Lepisosteus oculatus: one gene and its partner. The protein of the gene in region 1 interacts with the protein of each later gene in a pairwise test. Links are inferred from orthologs where the notes say so. Each region holds a gene or a part of one and is shown on either strand. Other genes may lie near its edges. The genes, in order: dnaja3a and tcf19l.

Region 1 (8,058 bases):
AAAAGGCTTCAGTTTAGTCTCCAGGGGCCCTTTGCCCCCCTCTCGCGTTCCAGTCGCAGGGACAACAATTTACTTTATTTAAACAAACGCCTCAGAGTCTCTGCTGAACACCGACATCCAATGCCTGTCCCTGCCGAGTCAGTTCAGCACTGAAGGAACATTAAACACAGGACTTTCTTCTTACTGGTCTGTAGGCTTCGCCTTCTGTTTCCGGTCATGGCATAGAACAAGAACCTTTAATAAACAGTTTTATCGGTTTCTTATTTAAGAAATAACAAAGGGTACAGGCTTTCACAGAAATTCTACAGCAGCTCTCGTCATCTTTCCTGCGTCTGCAGTCTCTCGAGCTGTAGCCACGTCTCTCACCTGGTAATAAGCCTTTTTGATCTCCTTCTGCGTGGCCGACCGGGACACCCCCAGCACTTGGTAGTAGTCCTGCTTGTTTGACGCAGAGGCGCTGGTGTGGAAGGCGGGGGCAGGGATGACACTGGGGCTCCTCACTCCTGTATGGGCACGTGGAGACCCGGCTTAACAGTTGGGGTCTGAGCTCTGCCAGGGGGCACAGGCAGACTACAGCACCACAGCCCAGGGAGGCAGCAGGCCAGAACCTCCCGTGAGTACAGTCTCCCTGGGAACTCAGAACTAGAGTGCTGTACTTTTTAAAGAGCAAATCAACATATGACAGCACTCTCGGTATTAAACTGGAATATTCCTTTCCAAACCATACTCCATGTGCAGCTGCAAGACTGCATAATATTATTGCAAGACTGAAATAATAAAGGACATCGCTAGCTGCCTGAACCCCATGATGTCGAACTGCTTAAAGATAAACTGCTTGTTGATAAAGCCAGAGATCAACTGTCATCAGTGCAACTTTTGTAAGCAGACTCTCACTGGTTACTGCAAGGATCCACAGACGTCAGGCATTTAAAGCACCATACAATATAACAGAATCCAGAAAGTATTCGTACATCTCTCCAATCCACAAGAAGACGAGATCAATGCTGCTTTCTGAACTGCACTAAAGAAAGTTCCAAACGTTGCTTCTCTGACATCAGAGTGCACTGATTCTTGATATCTTTCCTGATCTCCAGTTAGGCTTAGAAAGAAAAGAAACGTAGCACTCCGTTACTGAGTGTACTGTATGTGTCAAGAGAAATCAGCCATGCAGGACTGTGTACCGATTTCATGATTGACTTTGTTGCATAAGCACTAATAAACTCACATTAGTGGGAGAGCTGAGCAGAAACAGGTCAAGGGGTGATCCCAACCCACCGATTGTGAAGAAAGAAAATTACAGAAAGGAACTGCAACGCCCCAGTTATAAAAATAACCTCTATATATTGAGGCGCCTTCACATCCTCATGCTGCGTGTGAAACATGGGCTTTCTGGCAAGATGAGAATAGGACATGGTGTCTTGTGGGTATTCTACTGGCCTGAGCCCCACTGGATGAGGTAGGGAGACCTAAGGCATTTGGAGGCCCAGGGACAGACACAAGCTCACAGGATCTATGAGGGGAAAAGGGCAAAATCCAATTGCAATGTATTGCAGAGAACGAATCCCAGATGTACAGCTTGTACTGTTTCCAGCTGTGGCTCCAGACACTATTACACTGTGACCTAACACAAGACCAAATGGTGATCAATTCTACTGAAAGCAACTTGTTAATTATGGCACTTCTGTTCACCGAAATCTCAGTACTCCACCTACTAAAAAGAAACTGCTAACTTTGTCAATATATTGCATATATAAGTCATGACTCTGCTGAATATCAGTTTATACAAACAGCAGGCTCTTGCAACAAATGAATCTGATAATCACAATGAAAAGTGTTTATTTTGGTAATACTTTCAAATACTGGCCAATCCAGTCTGGACTCCTTATGGATCTAACTGTTAATCAACATTTGGTACAAGAATAACCAGAGGAAGCAAGTAGCCTATGAGATATATTCAAAAAATATATCTTGTTTTAAAAGTTTAGCAATGTCAGCTGCTACCTGCTCAAAGTCTAGCAATGTCAGCTATTTGTCGTTTTTATCCCAATCACACCTAGAAGATTTGGAACTGAACACAAAGGGCGTTTCGGTAAGATGCGTCCATTTGACGCTTTCTCGAATACTGTCGCAACTAGTCTTCAAAGGTAAACAGATTGAAACCTCCATATGATCAACATTTACATATAGCTCAAGTCACCACGATAACTGTAATTATATCTTCCGCACTAGTCTTCAAAGACTTTTTCTGCAAAAAGGGGGTTTATGAATTACGAGCGACACATGCCTATGGGTGCCTTTTGTCACAGTTTGTTTCTGCGGTAATTTTTCCCTTCCTGCTCTTAAATCTCCACAGCCGGAAGCATGGCACACAAAGTAGCGACCATGCTGCCAGTCAAGGTCAGCTGCTGGAGCGGAGGAAGTTTCTGGTAGCCGAAGAGAGCACACCTGCGATCTAAGATCAACACGAAAAGTGCTGCTTCTTGCATGAAGTACGGACGTCAAACAGAAAATATATGCAATTTACGATCATGTCATCCAGAGGTACTTTGTGTCACGCCGTTACGTCTCTTTCGTAATGCCGGTAGAGACGTCAAGGGAAGCACGCGTGTAGTCTAGACATATCACACATTTCACTACAATATTGACAACGCAATGAAAGAAATACGCTAGCTGTTAATTACACAGCCCCCAAACCCTGCGCAACTGTAATGTACATTGCAAGAGTTCAGGATATAGGCATTCCGGCTCGTCTCATTACCTGCTAATGCTCTCAATGTCAGGACGTGGCCGGGCCCTCCGCCGCCCCCGGGACGATACTGCGATGCACTCAAGGCAGGAACGGGACGCAATGTCTCCGTATGGGCGCGGGCGAACCGCGAGCAGCCCCGACGCTGCCCGGCGGAGACGGCCACGAAGATCCAGCGTGAGGAGCACCGGACCGCAGGAGACGCCATCATCATGTACCAGGACTGACAGAGGCAGCGCAAAGCGCATGGCCGGGAAAAGCAACGGGCCGCGCATGCGCGGAGCTGGGCGAGCATGCGCAGTCCAAACGCAGGGGACATTCCCAGCGCGAACATGTCACATGATAGGGGTGAGGGTGGACTTCAGACTCTTCAAGAAAAATAAAAAAACGCTTCAATAATTATTTTAAAAACACGAACTGCCTCTGCTACATGGTTTTAAACTTTAACGTTAGATTCCATGTATTATTTATTTAATTTTAGAAGGTTGCTAGCTTTTTAAAATCAATGCACTTAAATGTTTTCTTTTCCCCTAAATCAGGTACGAGTTTCCCCAGCAGTGCAGAGACTCATCTCCGACAAATACGTCCAGAGGGGCCCAAAAACAAAAAGAAAACCTTCTCCCCAAGTCGTGTAGTAATATGCAAAATAAACTCCCAGTTGCGAGCTGTGACTGAGAGAGCCTTTAATCCCAAGGGGGCAATTTGTTCAGCATCAGTTGGGCGTCTGCTGGCCACCCGTTTTACACCTCTCAGATTTTTTAAAAGGAGGGTTACTTACAGTAATTAAACATAAACTTTGTTAAATTTAGCAGTATTGTAAAACATCACCACTCGTTTCAAATTGCGCACCATACATGCTAAGTAGCAAGAGAAGTCTGAAATCGCAAAATGCCCCCAGTACAATCTGAGGTTTGCAGCAATGTCACTAGCTCGAGGTGGGGGGTCAGACAAGACAGCATCAGCCGCTCCCGTTCGCATCGATCGCCGAGTGAATCGCTGCAAGAGACAATCGACCGGCACTGTTGTGCTGTCAGTGCAGCTGCTGAGCGTGTGTGCGCGTCTGCAGAGACGGGGAAGGAGTGGGACAGATAGCAAACGGGTCACTGGCGTTGAGCAGGACGGCGAAGGAGAAAGGAGAAGGATGAACCGCTTCAAAATCTCCAAATTCAAGAACACCACCCCAAAAATCCCCAAGAAAGACGTAAGTCGGCGAGGGTTGGGTTTTGCAGTGAATGGGGGGAGAGACGTGTGCTGGCATTTCAACTTCCTGAATACTGCTCTCGCAAAGCTGTCCCGGAGTCATCATTTTTCAAGCACTCGTTCAAATTCAGATTGAAATGTACGCTGGTTTTAGAAGAAGGCTTCCAGACGGCCGCTTGCACTGCAGGTTTTAATTAAAGGATGGGATTCGCCTCTTTTTATTTTTCCGTCTGTGCATGACAGTTTTTTTTTGCTCTAATTTGAATGAAGGTTTGGTAAAAACTAAAACCTGGGAGGTTGTAAACGCTCACGTTACACGGAAAAATAATTTCCGTCCAGACGTGATTTGTGTTTTAAATTGCATGTGCAAATAAGACTGCTCTTTAAGAAAACAGAACAACGCTTCATTTCTACCGCGCGGTATGTTTAATCGTTTCTAAAAGTTTAGATAGACTGAAATATTGTTTACAGCTGTGAATGATTTAATGCAAATATATGTAAAACACGATGCTCAATTACCTCGACTTTTTTTTTAAAAGTCATACCAGGATGTGTGTTAAGGTAGCGTGCATGAACAAGCTGTGCTCGGAGCGAACCTGAATTTATTAATTACTGTTCTAGCCTTGACAAGCACGATAGAAAGTCAAAATAATCGTAATTCGCCCATTCTGCCATTTGCTACCCTATCGCGCTCTTCCTGGTGTGTAAAATCTAATGAGTAGCTACTAGGTCAGCTCCGACGCAATCCAAATGTTTTGCATAATTTTCAAAGAAAGTGGTTGATTCATTGTTGATCTGTTTACGGGGAGGGAATTCATCTACAGATACGTCTGTGCAATAGAGTGTCGACTTCAACTTTTTGACGAGAGAGGTTATCTTCCTAGCGACCTTCACACGTGCTGGAATATAGGCTCTGCTGAAGGTGTGAAATGATCCCGGGCACTACTCTGTGTTCCGTGCGTGGGCACAGCGAGATCACAGGTAATTTCTAGCCCCGGGCAAAGGAAGTCACCAGTTTCGAGATATTCCTTGGGCGAGGTTTTGTTTTGGCCAGATTGACGGTGAGTGGTGGAATCTGAAGTCAGGAAGGTGTGGCTTTTCCCACGCACAACCGAGATACACTATATCGCTGTCGTTTCTGATTGAGTGGTTTGGAAGCTTTCAGAGGAAGCCTCACCTGGAGTGCATTGCAGGCACACGTGTTCCACTTTGTGCTTGTGAATTCCACCGCACGTTTCTACTCAAGAGTAAAACCGAGGTGCTCTTCTAAAGCTGATGAGTTTTAGATATGGGGAGTCCTCAGTCGTGGAAAACTTCTTCTTGAAGCATCCATCCATATATCAGGACAGGGTTATTAATTGGTATAATGTGCATATCGTTGTGTAATAGCGACCCCTGTGGTTGGGGGGAGGGAGCTGCAGGACTGAGCTGCATTCAAACGGGCTAAGAACTCATCCCCACTTATACTCGGCTTTCCTACTTTGCAAACGTAGTTCACCTTTGAATGTCTCAAACCTTTGAAGCTTATATTGTGGACCTATCCCATTATGATGTTTTAAACCAATGGTATGAATGAGACCCAATAATTTTGCATTGATAACGTGCTGGAGGATGCTGGACTTTTTAACCATGTCTCCATTCTTTCTGTAAATTGAGTTGAAGAGCTTATTGGCAAATATCTTCAGTTTTCATAGACAGCCCTGAGGCAGAGACTGAACAACGGTTGTTGATCTACCAAAACGTGTACGAAAGAAGTGGACACCTGAGGAAGGCTCCACAGTCGAAACACGGTGTCTCTTTTCTTTTCCTTTCAGCCTGGAATAAACCTCTCCCTGCTCCTCTGCCGCCTTCGCATGCTGCTGCAGCTGCTTACTAAAAGAAGTCACACACTTCTGCCTCTGGTTTTCATCACGCGCCCTGCTGTTAAAGTTTAATTGAATTAACTGTTTTGACGGGCCGTCAGGCGTGATGGTTTTCCAGTCTGTCCAACAGTGATGCTTTGTCTCCTGTCCAGTCTGCACGCAGAGGCTAAGATTCATATTCAGTGGAAGTGTCCCCTGCTTACCCACGGGGAACAAAAAAATCCTTCAGGGATTTCCTGTTCCAGGTGGGACTGACAGATAACATGTATTTCAGTGCTCTGCTGTCCGTGCTCTCTTCTGCTAAGAACCTCGGCGTCCGTCTTCAGCCCCGGCCTCTCCTACCCAACACGTTTCTCTGGGATGATCTTGTCTTCTTCCCTCTTGAGCAGCAGTCTCAAGACCCCTCCTTACTGGCTGTCCCACACAGCTGCTCACCCAGGCCCTGGTGCTGTGCTTTTGAAGATGGTTTCTCGTTTGAGGTTTTTTGCATTTGCAGGGTCTGTTAAATCCTACCACAAGAACACAAATAAGGTGGAGACTGTTTAGTTCACAGAATGGACTATTAGTAGCTGCGACAGCTATGTTCTGTTGTAGTTCTGTCTGTGTAAGGCTCAGAAAGTTGAGGAGTGACATTTCTTGGTATAGCCAAGGGTTCTAGTAATAGGGGTGACACATTTTTAAAATATCGTTTTGGGATGTGCTGTTGCCTTTGGTGTACATCCCTCAGAAAGGATGGGATTCCACTCTGTTTACAGAAAGAGCAGCACGGTTACTACAGTCAAATGCAATGAGAAAGGGGTTCAGCTCTGTCCTATTTAGAGATGATTAACAAGGCAATATATTGCTCCCCTTCAGTTTGCCCGTGCTATTATGACGCACAAGTGTGGGCTAACCTATCTTTTTGTATATTTTTGGAGTGGAATTTCAGACTTATTTCTTTGTGTTCCAGGACAGAGTCAGTCCCCGCCCTGTTGTTAGTAGGGCACAAATACATTGGCTGTATGTCGCCTTTACAGAGGCTGGTACAATAGTGTTGATTTGTGGATTACAGTGATTTGTTTGTAGAGGCTGTTGGCATTCAGTCCCATGTGTGGGAGCTTCTGTACTGCAGCCTCTGGCAAAGATGTAGATTTGTAATTGCGTTAAGAGCCTCTAGCAAGAAAGCTGCGCCTCAGAACAATGTGAGCACATCTCTTGCCTAGAAATTTAGCGGAGGAGTTAGTTTTCAACGTTTTCCAGCTGCCACTTGAGCTGGATTTCCGGGATGGTCCTGCTTTCCTTGTCCCCTGAGGCATGTGTAGCCGCAGCCAGTGTAGCTGTGCCGGTCCAGAACATCAGTGGCCTCCAATGACACCCCAAAACCAGGGAGATGCACAGACTCGCCAAAACCACCATCTTCATATCTGGTCCTGGAGACCTGCAGGTTTTTTTTAGGTAACTAAAAATGCTCCGTAACTAAAGGTTTGGAAACCCAGGTAAGTTGGATCAGATAATTCAATAACTGATTCGATAAACTCATTAAGAGCGCAGGTGGATTGAAAAGCAGCAGGGCCTGCAGGTGTCCAGGTTGAGGAGTGAGTGTCACAGGACTAATACAGTCCAGTCGTGAGGAGTGTCCACTGTGTGAGCAGAGGTCATCCCTGCAGCACAGGAAGCTAGAAATCCCCCTGTAGAGCCCAGATTCTTTTGAATAAATGTCCTCAACCACTGGAAACTTCCTGTTTCACCATGGGCTCCCTTGCAAGCTATAGCTCAGGGGTTCGCAGACCTGCTCTGGCAAGTGTGTCCAGTTAAACAATAATTAGCTCATGCAGTGTGGACTGTAAACCTAGCGACACGACGTCCCTCCGGGACCAGCACAGGGATTCCCTGCTCAGGATAAAAGCCTGGATGGAAGTTCGTATTCTGATTGAGCCACTGGGGAATCTTGGACACGTTTTTAAATGATTTGCAGCGCAGTGCCAGAGTTTCGGAGACTTCCACAGCATTGTGCACATCACTGTAGTACAGGGCGAGCTGCCAAGCTGAGTCCATTGCAGCCACTCTCCAGAATCCCTCTGTCTCCAGCCAGCTGTGGAGCAAATAGAAGCAAAGAGCTCACAGCCAAAAAGAAGTAAACTGGCCCTGGCAGCAAATGCAGTCTATCTTTGGGCTGTGGGCACTGTGCATTCCCCAGCAGGTTATTTCTTGTTTAACTGTAGAAAATGCTTTATAAATTCACTGTGAGACTTCCCGTTACTAGAACAACTG
Region 2 (7,645 bases), on another chromosome or scaffold:
GCCCGCTGGAACAGGAAGTAGCACTCGGGGCCGCGGGCCGGCGCCCCGAACGTCAGCGTGTCCCCATCCCTGAGCTCCGTCCTCTGACCCCGGAGCAGGAGAGAGTCGTTCAGCCACGTGCCTGGACAGGGGGGAGGAGGAGGGGTCACACTGTACCCCAGACACACACACACACACACACTGTACCCCCTCACTGAGCTCCGTCCTCTGACCCCGGAGCAGGAGAGAGTCGTTCAGCCACGTGCCTGGACAGGGGGGAGGAGGAGGGGTCACACTGTACCCCAGACACACACACACACACTGTACCCCCTCACTGAGCTCCGTCCTCTGACCCCGGAGCAGGAGAGAGTCGTTCAGCCACGTGCCTGGACAGGGGGGAGGAGGAGGGGTCACACTGTACCCCAGACACACACACACACACACACACACTGTACCCCCTCACTGAGCTCCGTCCTCTGACCCCGGAGCAGGAGAGAGTCGTTCAGCCACGTGCCTGGACAGGGGGGAGGAGGAGGGGTCACACTGTACCCCAGACACACACACACACACTGTACCCCCTCACTGAGCTCCGTCCTCTGACCCCGGAGCAGGAGAGAGTCGTTCAGCCACGTGCCTGGACAGGGGGGAGGAGGAGGGGTCACACTGTACCCCAGACACACACACACACACAGACAGTGTCTCTCTCTCTCTCACACACACACAGACAGTGTCTCTCTCTCTCTCACACACACACACTGACAGTGTCTCTCTCTCTCTCACACACACACAGACAGTGTCTCTCTCTCTCTCACACACACACACTGACAGTGTCTCACACACACACACACTGACAGTGTCTCACACACACACACTGACAGTGTCTCACACACACACACTGACAGTGTCTCTCTCTCTCACACACACACACTGACAGTGTCTCACACACACACACTGACAGTGTCTCTCTCTCTCACAGACACACTGACAGTGTCTCACACACACACACTGACAGTGTCTCTCTCTCTCACAGACACACTGACAGTGTCTCACACACACACTGACAGTGTCTCTCTCTCTCACAGACACACTGACAGTGTCTCACACACACACACACTGACAGTGTCTCTCTCTCTCACAGACACACTGACAGTGTCTCACACACACACACACTGACAGTGTCTCTCTCTCACACACACACACACTGACAGTGTCTCTCTCTCTCTCTCACACACACACACACTGACAGTGTCTCTCTCTCACACACACACACACTGACAGTGTCTCTCTCTCACACACACACACACTGACAGTGTCTCACACACACACACACTGACAGTGTCTCTCTCTCTCACACACACACACTGACAGTGTCTCTCTCACACACACACAGACAGTGTCTCTCACACACACACAGACAGTGTCTCTCACACACACACAGACAGTGTCTCACACACACACACTGACAGTGTCTCTCTCTCTCACACACACACACTGACAGTGTCTCACACACACACACTGACAGTGTCTCTCTCTCTCACAGACACACTGACAGTGTCTCACACACACACACTGACAGTGTCTCACACACACACACTGACAGTGTCTCACACACACACACTGACAGTGTGTCTCTCTCTCTCACAGACACACACTGACAGTGTCTCACACACACACACTGACAGTGTGTCTCTCTCTCTCACAGACACACTGACAGTGTGTCTCTCTCACACACACACACTGACAGTGTCTCTCTCTCACACACACACACTGACAGTGTCTCTCTCTCACACACACACACACTGACAGTGTCTCTCTCTCACACACACACACACTGACAGTGTCTCACACACACACACACTGACAGTGTCTCACACACACACACACTGACAGTGTCTCTCTCTCTCACACACACACACTGACAGTGTCTCTCTCACACACACACACAGTCTCACGCACACACACTGACAGTGTCTCACACACACACACAGACAGTGTCTCTCACACACACACAGACAGTGTCTCACACACACACTCTGACAGTGTCTCACACACACACACAGACAGTGTCTCACACACACACACAGACAGTGTCTCACACACACACACACTCTCAGACTCACCGTAGCTGCTCTGATCCACGATGAAGACTCTCCAGCCCCTCTCCTGCCCTTCCTCCTCCTCCTCCTCCTCTCGCTCGGCGTGCAGCTCCGCGTGCACGCGCGACACCAGCTCGGGCCGCTCGGCGCAGCTCACGGGCACATCGCACAGCTCGGGCAGGCGGCCCACGCGAAACACGCAGCGGGGCAGCGCGGGCCGGAAGGTGAAGAGGTCGCGGCCGGGGTCCGAGGCGCCGACGCGCAGCAGCTGGAAGCAGGGCTGCAGCCCGGGCAGCATGCTGCCCCGCCGGCGCGGACACGAGTGGCCGTGGGCTCGGTGTGGCGCGCAGCAGAGCCGGGCCCGTGACAGTCTCCGCGCGGCGCGCTCTCCCTCCCGGAAGCGCTTTGAAACTTGGCGCGCCGGCGCCACTCGCGCGAGACCCGCGCCGCCAAGGCCCCGCCCCCTCACCGGGGCAACGGCCGCCTCCATGGCAACAGCCCCGCCCCCCGCCGCGGGCCGGCCAGTGGGAACGCCCCTTTACCCACAAACACACTGGGACTCTTCATCATAATAATAAATAACACAACTCTGATACAGCCTCTCACTGTAACAGTACAGACACACAACACACACACACACTGGGACTCTTCCTCATAATAAATAACACAACTCTTATACAGCCTCTCACTGTAACAATACAGACACACAACACACAAACACACTGGGACTCTTCATCATAATAATAAATAACACAACTCTGATACAGCCTCTCACTGTAACAGTACAGACACACAACACACACACACACTGGGACTCTTCCTCATAATAATAAATAACACAACTCTGATACAGCCTCTCACTGTAACAGTACAGACACACAACACACACACACACTGGGACTCTTCCTCATAATAAATAACACAACTCTTATACAGCCTCTCACTGTAACAATACAGACACACAACACACAAACACACTGGGACTCTTCATCATAATAAATAACACAACTCTGATACAGCCTCTCACTGTAACAGTACAGACACACAACACACAAACACACTGGGACTCTTCATCATAATAATAAACAACACAACTCTGATACAGCCTCTCACTGTAACAGTACAGACACACAACCCACAAACACACTGGGACTCTTCATCATAATAATAAACAACACAACTCTGATACAGCCTCTCACTGTAACAGTACAGACACACAACACACAAACACACTGGGACTCTTCATCATAATAAATAACACAACTCTTATACAGCCTCTCACTATAACAATACAGACACACAACACACAAACACACTGGGACTCTTCCTCATAATAATAAATAACACAACTCTGATACAGCCTCTCACTGTAACAGTACAGACACACAACACACAAACACACTGGGACTCTTCCTCATAATAAATAACACAACTCTTATACAGCCTCTCACTATAACAATACAGACACACAACACACAAACACACTGGGACTCTTCCTCATAATAATAAATAACACAACTCTGATACAGCCTCTCACTGTAACAATACAGACACACAACACACAAACACACTGGGACTCTTCCTCATAATAAATAACACAACTCTTATACAGCCTCTCACTGTAACAATACAGACACACAACACACAAACACACTGGGACTCTTCATCATAATAATAAATAACACAACTCTGATACAGCCTCTCACTGTAACAGTACAGACACACAACACACAAACACACTGGGACTCTTCATCATAATAATAAATAACACAACTCTTATACAGCCTCTCACTGTAACAGTACAGACACACAACACACAAACACACTGGGACTCTTCCTCATAATAAATAACACAACTCTTATACAGCCTCTCACTGTAACAATACAGACACACAACACACACACACACTGGGACTCTTCCTCATAATAATAAATAACACAACTCTGATACAGCCTCTCACTGTAACAATACAGACACACAACACACAAACACACTGGGACTCTTCATCATCATAAATAACACAACTCTTATACAGCCTCTCACTGTAACAGTACAGACACACAACACACAAACACACTGGGACTCTTCATCATAATAATAAATAACACAACTCTGATACAGCCTCTCACTGTAACAATACAGACACACAACACACAAACACACTGGGACTCTTCCTCATAATAAATAACACAACTCTTATACAGCCTCTCACTGTAACAATACAGACACACAACACACACACACACTGGGACTCTTCCTCATCATAAATAACACAACTCTTATACAGCCTCTCACTGTAACAATACAGACACACAACACACAAACACACTGGGACTCTTCATCATAATAAATAACACAACTCTTATACAGCCTCTCACTGTAACAATACAGACACACAACACACAAACACACTGGGACTCTTCCTCATAATAAATAACACAACTCTTATACAGCCTCTCACTGTAACAATACAGACACACAACACACAAACACACTGGGACTCTTCATCATCATAAATAACACAACTCTTATACAGCCTCTCACTGTAACAATACAGACACACAACACACACACACACTGGGACTCTTCCTCATAATAAATAACACAACTCTTATACAGCCTCTCACTGTAACAATACAGACACACAACACACAAACACACTGGGACTCTTCCTCATAATAAATAACACAACTCTTATACAGCCTCTCACTGTAACAATACAGACACACAACACACACACACACTGGGACTCTTCCTCATCATAAATAACACAACTCTTATACAGCCTCTCACTGTAACAATACAGACACACAACACACAAACACACTGGGACTCTTCATCATAATAAATAACACAACTCTTATACAGCCTCTCACTGTAACAATACAGACACACAACACACAAACACACTGGGACTCTTCAGCATAATAAATAACACAACTCTGATACAGCCTCTCGCTGTAACAATACAGACACACAACACACAAACACACTGGGACTCTTCACCATAATAAATAACACAACTCTTATACAGCCTCTCACTGTAACAATACAGACGCACAACACACAAACACACTGGGACTCTTCAGCATAATAAATAACACAACTCTGATACAGCCTCTCACTGTAACAATACAGCACGCCTCTCCTCTCCACACATACTGGGACACTGGGACACTGATCAGGACAGGGGCTGATACAGCCTGTAAACACACCAGAGCACGCCTCTCCTCTCCACACATACTGGGACACTGGGACACTGATCAGGACAGGGGCTGATACAGCCTGTAAACACACCAGAGCACGCCTCTCCTCTCCACACATACTGGGACACTGGGACACTGATCAGGACAGGGGCTGATACAGCCTGTAAACACACCAGAGCACGCCTCTCCTCTCCACACATACTGGGACACTTGGACACTGATCAGGACAGGGGCTGATACAGCCTGTAAACACACCAGAGCACGCCTCTCCTCTCCACACATACTGGGACACTGGGACACTGATCAGGACAGGGGCTGATACAGCCTGTAAACACACCAGAGCACGCCTGTCCTCTCCACACATACTGGGACACTGGGACACTGATCAGGACAGGGGCTGATACAGCCTGTCCTCTCCGCACACCAGCGCTCTCCAGGTGCTGCTGTTTTACATGACAGCTCCCGTTAGGCCAGACTGACTCGACAGGCACCCACTTCCCTTGTTCCGATCGATCACTCGCCCACACGACACTTCATTATCGATCCGGAATCCTGAGCGCTTCCAGCCACAGGAAGCGGCCATCTTGGCCTCCCGCCCCCGGCACGTCACCGCGGCGGACACGCCCCCCTTTCCCCGCTCTCCGGGTGACGTCAGGCGGATGTGGCGTCGGCTCTAACGCGACTCCGGAAGAGCGGGTCCGTCGCTAGGTAACGGGCTGGCGGTTGGCGGCCCGCTTGAATCCGCCAGGCGGACAACATGGCGGACAGGCTGAACAGACCGGCGGACTTCTCGGCGCCCGGGGCTGCCGCGGGTAGGACTCCTCTCCTGCTGCTCCGATCCTGTCGTCTCCGCTCCCTTTACTTCTCCTCCCGCTGCTCTCCTGGCTCCGCTCTGTCACTGTGTCTCCTCTCGTCCTGCGGCTCTCCTGTCACTGTGTCTCCTCTCGTCCTGCGGCTCTCCTGTCTCTCTGTCTCCTCTCGTCCTGCGGCTCTCCTGTCACTCTGTCTCCTCTCGTCCTGCGGCTCTCCTGTCACTCTGTCTCCTCTCGCCTGTTGCTCCGATCCTGTCTGTCTCCTCTCGCCTGCTGCTCTCCTGTCACTGTGTCTCCTCTCGTCCTGCGGCTCTCCTGTCACTCTGTCTCCTCTCGCCTGTTGCTCCGATCCTGTCTGTCTCCTCTCGTCCTGCTGCTCTCCTGTCACTGTGTCTCCTCTCGCCTGCTGCTCTCCTGTCTCTCTGTCTCCTCTCGCCTGCTGCTCTCCTGTCTCTCTGTCACTGTGTCTCCTCTCGTCCTGCGGCTCTCCTGTCACTCTGTCTCCTCTCGCCTGCTGCTCCGATCCTGTCTCTCTGTCTCCTCTCGCCTGCTGCTCCGATCCTGTCTGTCTCCTCTCGCCTGCTGCTCTCCTGTCTCTCTGTCACTGTGTCTCCTCTCGTCCTGCTGCTCTCCTGTCTCTCTGTCTCCTCTCGCCTGCTGCTCTCCTGTCTCTCTGTCTCCTCTCATCCTGCTGCTCTCCTGTCACTCTGTCTCCTCTCGCCTGTTGCTCCGATCCTGTCTGTCTCCTCTCGTCCTGCGGCTCTCCTGTCACTGTGTCTCCTCTCGTCCTGCGGCTCTCCTGTCTCTCTGTCTCCTCTCGTCCTGCTGCTCTCCTGTCTCTCTGTCTCCTCTCGTCCTGCTGCTCTCCTGTCTCTCTGTCTCCTCTCGTCCTGCTGCTCTCCTGTCTCTCTGTCACTGTGTCTCCTCTCGTCCTGCGGCTCTCCTGTCACTCTGTCTCCTCTCGCCTGCTGCTCCGATCCTGTCTCTCTGTCTCCTCTCGCCTGCTGCTCCGATCCTGTCTGTCTCCTCTCGCCTGCTGCTCTCCTGTCTCTCTGTCACTGTGTCTCCTCTCGTCCTCCGGCTCTCCTGTCACTCTGTCTCCTCTCGTCCTGCTGCTCTCCTGTCACTGTGTCTCCTCTCGCCTGCTGCTCTCCTGTCTCTCTGTCTCCTCTCGTCCTGCTGCTCTCCTGTCTCTCTGTCACTGTGTCTCCTCTCGTCCTGCGGCTCTCCTGTCACTCTGTCTCCTCTCGCCTGCTGCTCCGATCCTGTCTCTCTGTCTCCTCTCGCCTGCTGCTCCGATCCTGTCTGTCTCCTCTCGCCTGCTGCTCTCCTGTCTCTCTGTCACTGTGTCTCCTCTCGTCCTCCGGCTCTCCTGTCACTGTGTCTCCTCTCGTCCTGCTGCTCTCCTGTCTCTGTGTCTCCTCTCGCCTGCTGCTCTCCTGTCTCTCTGTCTCCTCTCATCCTGCTGCTCTCCTGTCACTCTGTCTCCTCTCGCCTGTTGCTCCGATCCTGTCTGTCTCCTCTCGTCCTGCTGCTCTCCTGTCACTGTGT

Evidence for each region.
Region 2: the proteins of dnaja3a (region 1) and tcf19l interact in a two-hybrid assay, tested with the Homo sapiens proteins (2 studies listed by BioGRID and IntAct). The two-hybrid records come from large-scale screens. The link is inferred for Lepisosteus oculatus from reciprocal best matches to the Homo sapiens genes DNAJA3 and TCF19.

What each region holds. Positions count from the first base shown.
Region 1 is NC_090714.1:3,739,769-3,747,826, forward strand, and holds the start of dnaja3a (dnaJ heat shock protein family (Hsp40) member A3a), read right to left. Parts: upstream 3,068-8,058; 5' UTR 3,066-3,067; coding exon 2,759-3,065; intron 504-2,758; coding exon 367-503; intron 1-366. Other genes in the region: coro7 (coronin-7), read left to right, coding at 3,666-3,947. UniProt on the Homo sapiens protein: Modulates apoptotic signal transduction or effector structures within the mitochondrial matrix. Affect cytochrome C release from the mitochondria and caspase 3 activation, but not caspase 8 activation.
Region 2 is NW_027168109.1:40,679-48,323, forward strand, and holds the start of tcf19l (transcription factor 19), read right to left. Parts: upstream 3,070-7,645; 5' UTR 2,566-3,069; coding exon 2,100-2,565; intron 122-2,099; coding exon 1-121. UniProt on the Homo sapiens protein: Potential transcription factor that may play a role in the regulation of genes involved in cell cycle G1/S transition. May bind to regulatory elements of genes, including the promoter of the transcription factor FOXO1.